Nothobranchius furzeri: one gene and its partners. The protein of the gene in region 2 purifies or fractionates together with the protein of the main gene of each other region. This does not show direct contact. Links are inferred from orthologs where the notes say so. Each region holds a gene or a part of one and is shown on either strand. Other genes may lie near its edges. The genes, in order: ankrd46b, mgrn1b and mc1r.

Region 1 (3,755 bases), on a different chromosome or scaffold from region 2:
GGTTTGCATTTTTAACTTTAGCTCTTTGGCATCAGGAGGACATGAGGAGCATAAATAATTACATCCTAAAAGGTAAAAGGTGCTGTTTGCTGCATTTTTGAGTATTGCTAACATAAATCAAGCAATCTCGTCACTGATTTTCTCTTACTATCTATAAAAAAGGAAAGCTCCAAGTTCAAGTTACATTTATGGTGTTTTTCTTGTCTGTGATGTCTGTACATTTCATGATCCATGGTGTCTTTTCTCCAAATACAGCATTAAAATCTGCTTTTTACTCTTATGTGCATTAAAATAGCACTTTTCCCACTAAACTAACTCCATAAGGACCTTTCTGAGAACAATACTGCACTGATGCAAACTGACATGGGCTAAAACTTATGACCCAAGTAATAAAACTCCTTCTCTGTGCTGACAGGTCGTCAATGTGAATATAAAATTCTTAGCACATTAAAGCAAATGTTTATAACACAATGAGCTTGTTTCTGTTTTTGAGATGTCCTTGAACAATATGGAACACATTTAGTATTTTATGCCTTTGAATGATGAAAATATCAAGTTTTCTCTTTTTTCTTTCAATAAAGTTGTGAAACTGGTTCCATAATTCTGGGACAATTAAAAAACTCCTGCATGTAACCTCTATGAACACTGCACCTGCTGATAGCTCTCATTTTTCACTTTTCACTGGTTTTGCTTGGTTTGTATTTGTTGTTTTGTAATCTAGATTGTAATTATTTGTACTTGTATAATAATTACTATTTCCTGGTTTCATTTACTGAGAGAGGAGCAGGTCAGAAATTTAACTGTACATGAAATTTTATTGAAAAATGGCTTCTTCTTTTTTTAATCATTAAGAATGAAACTTATTTTACTGTGTTTCTGATTACTATTATGTTCAACAACATCCTGTAAACTGACTGAAGTGGAGGAAAAGAAAAGCTGTTTTCCTCAAAGAGGATTCATTAAAGAAAGATTTGTTCTCACTTACTTTGAAATAAACTTTAAAAACTATGAAATGCTTTTTTTTTATTTACATGTTTGGGTTCAGTCATTTTATGATTAACTGAATGAAGAATATTTGCATTCAGATGTTTTGCTACAGAATGAATGATGATTAAACTGTTTGGAGTTGCTGCTCTACTACCGTCTCACCGGTAGGTGGCGACAGACACCAAACAAGCTTCAGTTCAGAACGATAACACAACAGGCTAGCAGCGTTAGCGTATCTCAGAGCGAGGTGCATTTTTTTTCTTCTAAATTGGAAACATTTTAACAGGTTAGTGGCACAACTTCCAGCTTAAAGGGAGTCTAAACTAAATGTTTATGATTGTGTGAAAGGGTGAGTTTGTGGATTTTGTATTTGTGATGAATGCTAACTGTAGGTCGCAAGCTAACTCCTCCACTCTTTCTCTTCTTAGCTGTTAGTTGATTGTAATCTTGTTTACAATCCACGAACAAAGTATAAAAGGATACATGTAGACATGCCCAACGCAATGATAAGTAAGATGTTCAAAATGTTCCTCCGCGTCAATGTAAAAGTGGAAGCTAGCCTAAAACGAGCTAAGTTAGCACGTAGCGCGTCACAAAAACAAGATTGTGTTTGCACCAAACGAGTCTATGTTTAAATTTTCGTGTGTCTGTATGGTTCGATGTTGAACTTTTATGAAAAAATACTTATTTGCAGCCGCTTGGGTGTACAAAAGCTAATTTGGGTTGCATGATTAAAAAAACTAAACACGTCGTTTCAAGATCAGGGCAGCAGTTTTCTCTTCAGATCCTACATGGAGGTTAAATGTCATGAACTTAAAATGGAAAACTAATTGATCTTCTCAAAAGTACATATTTAAATTAAAGACACGTCCAGTTTAGTCTATTCTCGTTGTGATGCTCAGATGCAAGCGTGATTAGTTGTGCACACACAGCTCAGCTTTACATTAACACGTTGAGTCAGCTGAAGTGGGAACCTCTACTATAGAAAACATCCTAATGACTGATCTCCTTTTGGCAAACATCAATAAAGCCTGTAACTTAATCCCTCTAGTCTTTGCTTAAAACTCGTTATAATCAATCACTGGCATTCTTTCTGATAAATATGACAGTGATTTATTAATCATTCAAGATTATTTTGTTGTAAACCAGAAATGATCCTTTTTCTCTGCTGCACATCTTTAACTTGTGAAGTCAAATAAATATATTCGACCACCATTCTTTATATTTAGCTTGTTTTGCTCCCTGCAACACTAATTTATTGTCTAGAATATTAGTTTCTAAATATGGTTTTTCCAAACTGACTCGCAAGGAGGGTTAAGTGATGAATTTTATGACTTTACCCTTTTATTTAAAATTTATAAATCTTTTGGGTTTTCTCATTTTAATTACCTTTCATCTATTTTGTTTTTATGATGATTTTCTGACTTTAAGATTTGTTGTTCTTTGTGAAGCATTTAGTGATTTTTTTTTCCCCCTGTGGTAATTGTTGTATAAATAAACTTTATTTACTCAAGTGTCTTGCTCAAGGACACGACTGCAACAGACAGGGCTCGAACTTGCACTCCTCTGTGTTGCGTTGGTGAAAGACCGCTATGAACGTTCACTGGTTGATGGGTGTGATTGTGACTCGGATGTTTGTTCAGATATGAGTGTGTGTGTGTGTGTGTGTGTGTGTGTGTGTGTGTGTGTGTGTGTGTGTGTGTGTGTGTGTGTGTGTGTGTGTGTGTGTGTGTGTGTGTGTGTGTGTGTGTGAAGAGCAGTTAACTGGTTCTGCTTGATGAGGTTTGGGTGTGAAACCACTCTTGCTCCTTCCACTATCAGGCTGTTATAAACAAGTTTGTTTGCCAAGAGAGATTTCTTCTGCCTTTGCCTTTCACCACCATCATTTTTTCTAAACTTGCCTGCTGTCCTTTCAGGTACGCTGGAATATTCTGACACCCACTCGGACATGTCCTATGTCTTCATCAATGACTCGTCGCAGATCAGCGTGCCTCTCCTGCAAGCCTGCATTGACGGAGACTTGCTCTTCGCCAAGAGGCTCCTGGAGACAGGATGTGACTCCAACATCCGGGACAACCGGGGACGCACCGGACTCCACCTAGCTGCCGCCCGCGGGAACGTGGAAATATGCCGCCTCTTGCACAAGTTTGGGGCCGATCTGTTAGCTACGGATTATCAAGGAAATACAGCGCTGCATTTGTGCGGTCATGTGGACACGATACAGTTCCTGGTGTCCAACGGGCTGAAGATCGATATCTGGTAGGTGTCTTTAGTGTAACCTGTTGTCTTTTCTGTTCCTTTGTCTTTTATTCTGTCTTTCTCAACTTAAATTTTACTAAACTTCGTTTAACCATCCTTCTGAATATTTGGAAATGCCTCCAAATCAACTTTTGCAAACCACAGTCAGAATGTGGCCATCGGAAAGACAAGTGAAGCAAACACACAAGGAAGTGGCCAATTATCGGTGCAGCTGTTTGGAGAATAAGATGCTTTAGATACAACACTTCTGAAATTCTCTCGTGAGATTTGACACATACCTAGCTGAATTTTGATTCAGTTTCCCTTTGTCTACTTTATCCTGCATAACTGGTTAAACATGTGGCAGCTTGGGTTAGGGTACCACGACTAAGAGTTTGAAATGACTATAAAAATAAAGTTAAAATATATTGTGCTTTTTTTCGTACTATACAGTACTTACTGAACTTTTCTCAGTTGTCAGTGTCTAGGTGTTATCAGTGAGTTGGGCTAAGACTTCTTCTCGCTCATCA
Region 2 (3,755 bases):
AGTCTGGGGATCGAATCCCGCCCGGGCCCTCGTTTCTCCACCTTGCCACACAAGGAACATTTCTTAAGACGTGTTTCTGCTGTGATTTAGGCCTGTGATGCTGGAAGGCTGAAGATTATCCCGGAGTGGAGAATGCTAAATGGTTTCCTTGGTAAGTGTTGCTGGTTTTATTAATTATTTTTCTAATAATTTTATTAATGTTCAAATAGCATAGCAAACAATAATTTCACACTCAGAAAATTCACACAGAATTTCAGATTCAGCAGAGGCAATAACAGCCTGAATGAGCATAAAGCAAGATCAAAACTTAAGATAACGTTTTCATTATATTAAAATACTTTCTTTTAAGATTATGGATTGTATAAAATTTATACTTTATAAAATATACTGTAATCATTTAGGCTGCGTGTTTATAGCTTGTTTTTGTGCCTTTAAACATGCTTCAGTACATTCAAATTAATCTATTTATTCTTGAATGCCTTTCCACCATCATGTGATTAATTTGTCGACATTTATAAATGTTGTAAGCTATTGTATTTAGCAGAAAATCTTTTTAATTAAATGTAAACAGAGTAAATAAGAGAAACATTTGCTCTGTTTACATAGTTTAACGACATCTAGTGGTTATTTGCTGGTACTACTGCCTTAACAATGACTCTCCCAATGGATAAAATATTAAAAAAATGTCTGATAGAATGTTTAACATACAACACATGACTTATTTTGGCATACCAACCACCAATTTGTAACCAAAGATTAGGCTATGTAAAATGTGAATGAACTTTTATTAGTAACTTTGGTAAGTTTCAGATTTCAATTCATTAAATAACATCGATGGAGGGGGGCCCAAAAAATGCAGCCTGCCTAGTGTAGTCCATTTATTTAATCCGGCTCTGCCTGCAGGAGCCCTACTTGATTCATTTTTTGTGGCTTCTCTCGTTATGCTCGACGTAGCTAAAATGTACAATTTTAGCGTTTCTTCTTTTGTTTGAAACGAGAAGTGAACTTTATGCTTTTAAAGGTGTGTTGATTTTATAAGCTCAATTAATTTGCGCTGGCCTCTTTTATTGTAGGTATGCGCGCCTGTCTTAATTAGCTCCGCACATTCTCCGGCAGATGCCTTTACCTAAAGCAAGCACACTCATTTCCTGGACAAGCCCAGAGACAGCCAATCAGCTCGCCTTCTTGCTACGTTAGCACGTCTCTGGCAAAAACAACAGCTCGAGCCTCAATTTGTGTCCAGTTTCGTTAAACGACTATCGGTTAAACGGAGCTCGGGAAATGTGGAACTAACCACAGCTTTTATTTCTGGTGGGTGCTGTATCTATTTGGATTTCTGTCTAGTCTCACGTCGGGGTTAATTTGATGTGCTGACGCGCTGTTAGCCGCCAGCTAACTGTAGCGAACACCAGCGATCCAACAGAAAAAGATGGGGTCCATCCTGAGCCGCAGGATTGCTGGAGTGGAGGACATCGATATCCAGGCCAACTCTGCCTATCGATTTCCTCCGAAATCTGGTGAGTGATAGACACGGCCACGCGTCGAGACTTAGTTATTTCATAAACAATGACGCGAAGTCGAAGACGCCGACTTCTGTTTTTGGTAATCGGGTTAATAACGTATTGTATGTGATTGATCGTGGACCAGCAGATAAACAGTCTATGAACGCTCGGTCAGGTTTAAATGTCAGGATGTCACATGTTGCTGAAAAATGTCGCGTTTGCTAAGCTGTTTTAATGACTCGAACCCTGTCGGTGAGAGTCAGCATTGTTTATTTGTCACAGAAGTTGGATCTTGTGAAAGTAAAGGTAATCGAAACATCACCTGGGTGAACGAGTAACCCGCATGAATAAATAAATCCTCAAACATTCACTTGTAACCAGTGTGACAGATACACCGGGAGGATTCACTCCACTCCGGCTACTGCAAGGACTCATTTGTAATAAGTGTCTTTCTGCTAAAATCGCGTCTTGCATGTCATGCTTCTGGCACAGTTAATAAACTTATTTTCTCTCCAGGGAATTACTTTGCCAGCCATTTCTTTATGGGAGGAGAGAAGTTTGACACGCCACATCCAGAGGGATACCTCTTTGGGGAAAACATGGACCTGAATTTTCTTGGAAACAGGCCTGTGCAGGTACCAATCAATGCTCGCTTAACTAACGATCCAGCATTATACTATACTATAATGTACTACGTAGGTAGTATATTTTGTACTTGCCAAACACATTTCCAAATCCTCTCAAGAACAGCTTTTATTATGAAACCATTTCAATCTATTTCAGTTGTTTCTCTTTTTGTTTCACCAGTTCCCGTATGTGACACCTGCACCCCACGAACCCGTGAAAACCCTCAGGAGCCTGGTTAACATCAGAAAGGACTCTTTGCGTTTAGTCAGGTAAAGGCTGTGACATAGTATTACATTACCTGCATTTAAAAGTAAACATTTTCTGATAATTTTTCTAAACTTCTTGATTTCAGGTATAAAGATGACTCTGACACCTCAGGGGAGGAGGGTGTAAAACCGAAGGTTCAGTACAGTGTGGAGTTTACCTTTGACGCTGACGCTCGGGTAGCCATCACCCTCTACTGCCAAGCGTTTGAGGAATTCTCCAATGGGATGGCCGTGTAAGCTTTTCACCTTGTAACTCACGTACCTGACACGGTTTGGGTCTAACGGTAACATAGTGAGAGTCCTTTTGTCTGAAACAAAATAAACCATTTATATAGAATCTGTAACATGGTTAGATTTGCTTCTATCTCATGTGTACATCACAGCTGCTGCTATAGTGTGAAGCGTTGTGCCAGAGACACTTAGACTGTGTTTTGTAAGTGGTGAGCTCCAAGCCTCAGAGCACAGAGTCTAGAATAGATGCAGTGGGTCCTTAGCAACGAGTAGTCTCCATGGATACCGCTGATAAGACTGGGATGAAGATGAAAGTTAAAGTCTGTGCTGAAGTTAACATCTTCTGATGAGCAGACGTTGTTGCAATTTTTGTTTTGTTTTGTTTGTTTTGTTTTTTCATATCAGTGCTGATTTCTTCACCGCAGTTAAGGTTTTGTTACAGGATTGCCTTTTGTGGTTCTAGGTACAGCCCAAAAGATCCCACCATGGTCTCTGAAACTGTGCATTACAAGAGAGGAGTGAGCCAGCAGTTCTCCATGCCATCATTTAAAATCGATTTCAGCGAGTGGAAAGAGGAGGATGTAAGTTTAGAGTTTGTCACTACTGCACACAAACACTCCAAATGGGTGTGTGAATTAATATACTATCTTTTTTTGTTTTTCTTTGAAGCTGAATTTTGACCTGGACCGAGGAGTGTTCCCCATGGTCATCCAAGCTGTGGTTGACGAAGGAGACGGTGTGTTAGGATGACTCGTTCATTCTGAAGTCTCTGTAATGGTTGCACAGGTTCATGTTCCACACTAACGCCGCTGGTTGGTTTGTTTGTTTGTTTGTTTTTAAGATTGTCTTGGACACGCTCACATACTTTTGGCAGCATTTGAAAGAGTACGTATGTTTGTTATAACTTAAATACATATGATGTATATAAAGCTTTCATATGAACTCGAACATTTCCTTATCCCTCCAGCATGTTGATGGCAGTTTCTCCGTTAAACCACTGAAGCAAAAGCAAATAGTAAGTTTACTAATATTGTTTGAATATTTTCTGAGTCACTTTGGTTTTTGCTGGTTCTTTGTTCAGCTTGAGATCTGGACTGTTCATCTTTGATGATTTAAATCAAATCAGTTT
Region 3 (3,462 bases), on a different chromosome or scaffold from region 2:
TAGCAGCAGCCATTTGCTATCTGCAGCCACATGATGCTTGTGACTGTCCTTGGTGGCCAAATGAAGTCGTTGTTGTTGTTCACCCGGAGCTACAGCAGAGAATGGAGGAAGTTTTCATGTGATTCTTCTGCAGTTCTAGAAAAACACTTTCACACTCAACAGAGGTGTGTGTGTGGGCCTTAGAGGATGCCTGGTGAGCTATAGCAGTTTTCCACAGATTTACTAAGATTACTGTTTTTGGTGACTTTAGGATGTGATCATAACTGCTGCTGAGGATTCAGGATATACTGTATTTGATCATTGATGATGAAAAATGATTTGGATGAGGTTTGAATATCAATGCAGGGTTTCTGTCAAAAACTAAAGGAAATTCAAAATAACGCAGAGCTTTGAATCACATAATTGTTGTGATTTCGCGTTTAAACATTCACAAACAGTTATTTTTATTACTATCTGTATTATGCATAATTTAATAGAAATTATCAAATTAGATTCATTGAATTGCACTTTTAATGCATTAAAATGAAAATTGTATTAATGCCAACTAAATATAATTTATTTTTGTGTAACATATGTCTAACTTGTTTATTTTCATAAATTATGCACCTTATACTGGCGGTGTCTTGTTTCTTTTCTGAATATCAGATGCATTTGTGATACTTTTTAGTTGTTTTTTTTCTGCTAATCTACACATGTTTGTTTCTGTTCAAATAACATTTAAATGTTGGCATCAAATCTGAATTTACACGAGCTGTTTTTGTCTTATTGTTTAAATTAGATTAAAGAATGGGACTTTTTATCCCAAAAGCGTTGTGCGTGACTATCAGGTTCCAGCAGTTCCCTTCAGTCCAGATTAAAATAAATTTTGTCCGACTGGCTGCTTTTTGAATCACCAGATTGTCTATTTTTATAGCATTTAGAACAATTTGACCTCTGAGATGACTGGAAATAAAGGCAAGCAGCAGAAAGTGCAGGTTTACAAAAATCCAAGAATATAAATTCAAGAATGAAATTATTTTAAACATTTTTCTCCCGATTAGGATTATGTCTCGGGAGGTTTTAATGTGTGCTGCTTTAATTTTTAATCTAGCATGACACAGAGAATAACAGCTTTTACATGCAAACACACAAATTGCATTACGCCCACCACTAATTTTACATAAGACACTTTGTTAGGGGTTTTCATACAATATTAACATTTTAAAGAAATTAGTGAAGTCTTAGTGATTCAAGCTTCAACAAAATAAATAAATAAATACATTAAAAAAACACGCTGAGACAGGACCAAAGTCCAATGGATCTGCGCTGGAGGAGGAGGAGGAGGAGTTTGATGAAGTCACTCAGCATCTTCTTCAGTTGCTCAAAAAAAAAAAACTCAATTCCCCAAACCCAACAAGCATTCCGTTTGTTTTCGGCCACCGCGTTGCTCTGGACGGTTTGAGGGTTTTGGTGGTTCGGAACGGGAAGTCCATACAAACAGGATGGATTATTGATGGACTTCGTATCAGCAAACGAGGAGACGCGTTTTTAACGTGGACCCGTCCATCTTGATTAGACGTTTCCACAGCAAAGGGACATCAAATGAACATCATGTAAATAAAGTTTAAAGGATTCTGGACAATTGGCTCACTGAGGAGTTTCACACTTGTTTGGACGTTGACTGGGAGACAGCTGAGCCAGATGTGGACCCCTGCTTTAATGAAATTTCTATACCTCACTGAAATCTGAACTCTGTTCAGTTTTTCAAATATGGACATGGCCAACAGTTCCCAGCACTTTCCCTCCATCCGCCACATGGACTACAGTCCGCTGGGGCACTACCTGGACGACAACGAGACAAACTCCACCGTAGGGGAGAGAGACTCGTTCGGCTGCGTTCAGATCCGCATCCCCCAGGAACTTTTCCTGGCGCTTGGACTCATCAGCCTGGTGGAAAACATCATGGTGATCTGGGCCATCATCAAGAATCGCAACCTGCACTCGCCCATGTACTACTTCATCTGCTGCCTGGCCGTGTCCGACATGCTCGTCAGCGTCAGCAACGTGGTGGAGACCCTATTCATGCTTCTCAACGATCACGGCTTGCTGGACGTGCACCCCGGCATGTTGCGCCACCTGGACAACGTAATCGACGTGATGATCTGCAGCTCGGTAGTGTCTTCACTCTCCTTTCTGTGCACCATTGCCGCGGATCGCTACGTCACCATCTTTTACGCGCTGCGCTACCACAGCATCATGACCACACGGCGCGCCATAATCATCATCGCGGTGGTGTGGCTGGCCAGTGTCACCTCCAGCATCCTCTTCATCGTTTATTACACAGACAACGCGGTCATCGTGTGCCTCGTCACCTTTTTCTGCATCACCCTGGTGTTCAACGCCGTGCTGTACCTGCACATGTTTCTTTTGGCGCACGTGCACTCGCGGCGCATCACTGCATTCAATAAAGGCAGGCGTCACTCAACTAGCATGAAGGGAGCGATCACCCTCACCATCCTGCTAGGGGTCTTCATTATATGTTGGGGCCCCTTCTTCCTCCACCTCATCCTCATCCTGGCGTGTCCCACCAACCCTTTATGCAACTGTTTCTTCCGGAACTTCAACCTTTTTCTCATCCTCATCATCTGTAACTCCCTCATCGATCCTCTCATTTACGCGTACCGGAGCCAGGAGCTGCGTAAAACCCTCCAGGAGCTGCTTCTCTGTTCTTGGTGCCTCGGAGTGTGACACCTTGAGGTTTTCAGTAGACATTTGGAGTAAATTCTCTACAGGTGTTTAAATAACCTGCAGCTCCATGGTGCGCTCAAAAGTTTATGAAGGCTTTTCGCCATCACAGAGCTGGTGCAATTTTTATTTGGATAAGATAATAAATAGCGCTGCACTGTAAAAAATTCTCAGGTTTAAAGGATCAAACAGAGACTTTAAGTGTTATGTTCGCATTTTAGCTCTGTTTCCTTCTCGTTTTTTTTCTGTACAGCCTAAACATGCGTAAAGTGCGTAAAGCATGCGTAAATTATAAAAAAGTAGAAAAAATAGCATGTTCGCTAGAACTTTTCACTTCAAGAATTAGTTCCATCCATCCATCCATCGTCCTCCAGAAGCAGAGGGGTCCTGACTCTTCTCCCTAGCCTCCAAAGAAATTGGTTTTACATTTCTATTACTTTATCACATTTTTATTGATTCTGGAGCAAATAGCATAATCCAAATACGGAAATAATGAATTCAGTGACAAAAACAGGAATTATTGATACTGAAACACATGTTTGATTTGGGATGTGATGTTAAAACCATTTTCAAAAAGCATTCAATGTCTTTTAGGCGGGTTGCACCCGCCCCCCACCCCCCACCCACCCAATAATAAGAACTGACTGAGGGTGAGAAAAATGTTAAAAGAAGAAAATCACATGAACAGCCCTGAGGCTCATGGCATGACACGTTTATGAAAGGAAACCCACCAAAGTT

The links.
Region 1: the proteins of mgrn1b (region 2) and ankrd46b purify together in Homo sapiens (co-immunoprecipitation; 3 studies listed by BioGRID and IntAct, counting the BioPlex papers as one, with this or other methods). This does not show direct contact. The link is inferred for Nothobranchius furzeri from reciprocal best matches to the Homo sapiens genes MGRN1 and ANKRD46.
Region 3: the proteins of mgrn1b (region 2) and mc1r purify together in Homo sapiens (affinity purification with western blotting; 3 studies listed by BioGRID). This does not show direct contact. The link is inferred for Nothobranchius furzeri from reciprocal best matches to the Homo sapiens genes MGRN1 and MC1R.

Annotation. Positions count from the first base shown.
Region 1 is NC_091742.1:76,204,695-76,208,449, reverse strand, and holds the start of ankrd46b (ankyrin repeat domain-containing protein 46), read left to right. Parts: upstream 1-1,149; 5' UTR 1,150-1,273; intron 1,274-2,903; 5' UTR 2,904-2,935; coding exon 2,936-3,246; intron 3,247-3,755.
Region 2 is NC_091745.1:3,806,004-3,809,758, reverse strand, and holds the start of mgrn1b (E3 ubiquitin-protein ligase MGRN1b), read left to right. Parts: upstream 1-1,206; 5' UTR 1,207-1,429; coding exon 1,430-1,517; intron 1,518-2,018; coding exon 2,019-2,137; intron 2,138-2,309; coding exon 2,310-2,398; intron 2,399-2,481; coding exon 2,482-2,628; intron 2,629-3,089; coding exon 3,090-3,207; intron 3,208-3,295; coding exon 3,296-3,362; intron 3,363-3,467; coding exon 3,468-3,511; intron 3,512-3,593; coding exon 3,594-3,641; intron 3,642-3,755. UniProt on the Homo sapiens protein: E3 ubiquitin-protein ligase. Mediates monoubiquitination at multiple sites of TSG101 in the presence of UBE2D1, but not of UBE2G1, nor UBE2H. Plays a role in the regulation of endosome-to-lysosome trafficking.
Region 3 is NC_091749.1:57,567,706-57,571,167, reverse strand, and holds mc1r (melanocyte-stimulating hormone receptor), read left to right. Parts: upstream 1-1,451; 5' UTR 1,452-1,749; coding exon 1,750-2,727; 3' UTR 2,728-2,852; downstream 2,853-3,462. UniProt on the Homo sapiens protein: Receptor for MSH (alpha, beta and gamma) and ACTH. The activity of this receptor is mediated by G proteins which activate adenylate cyclase.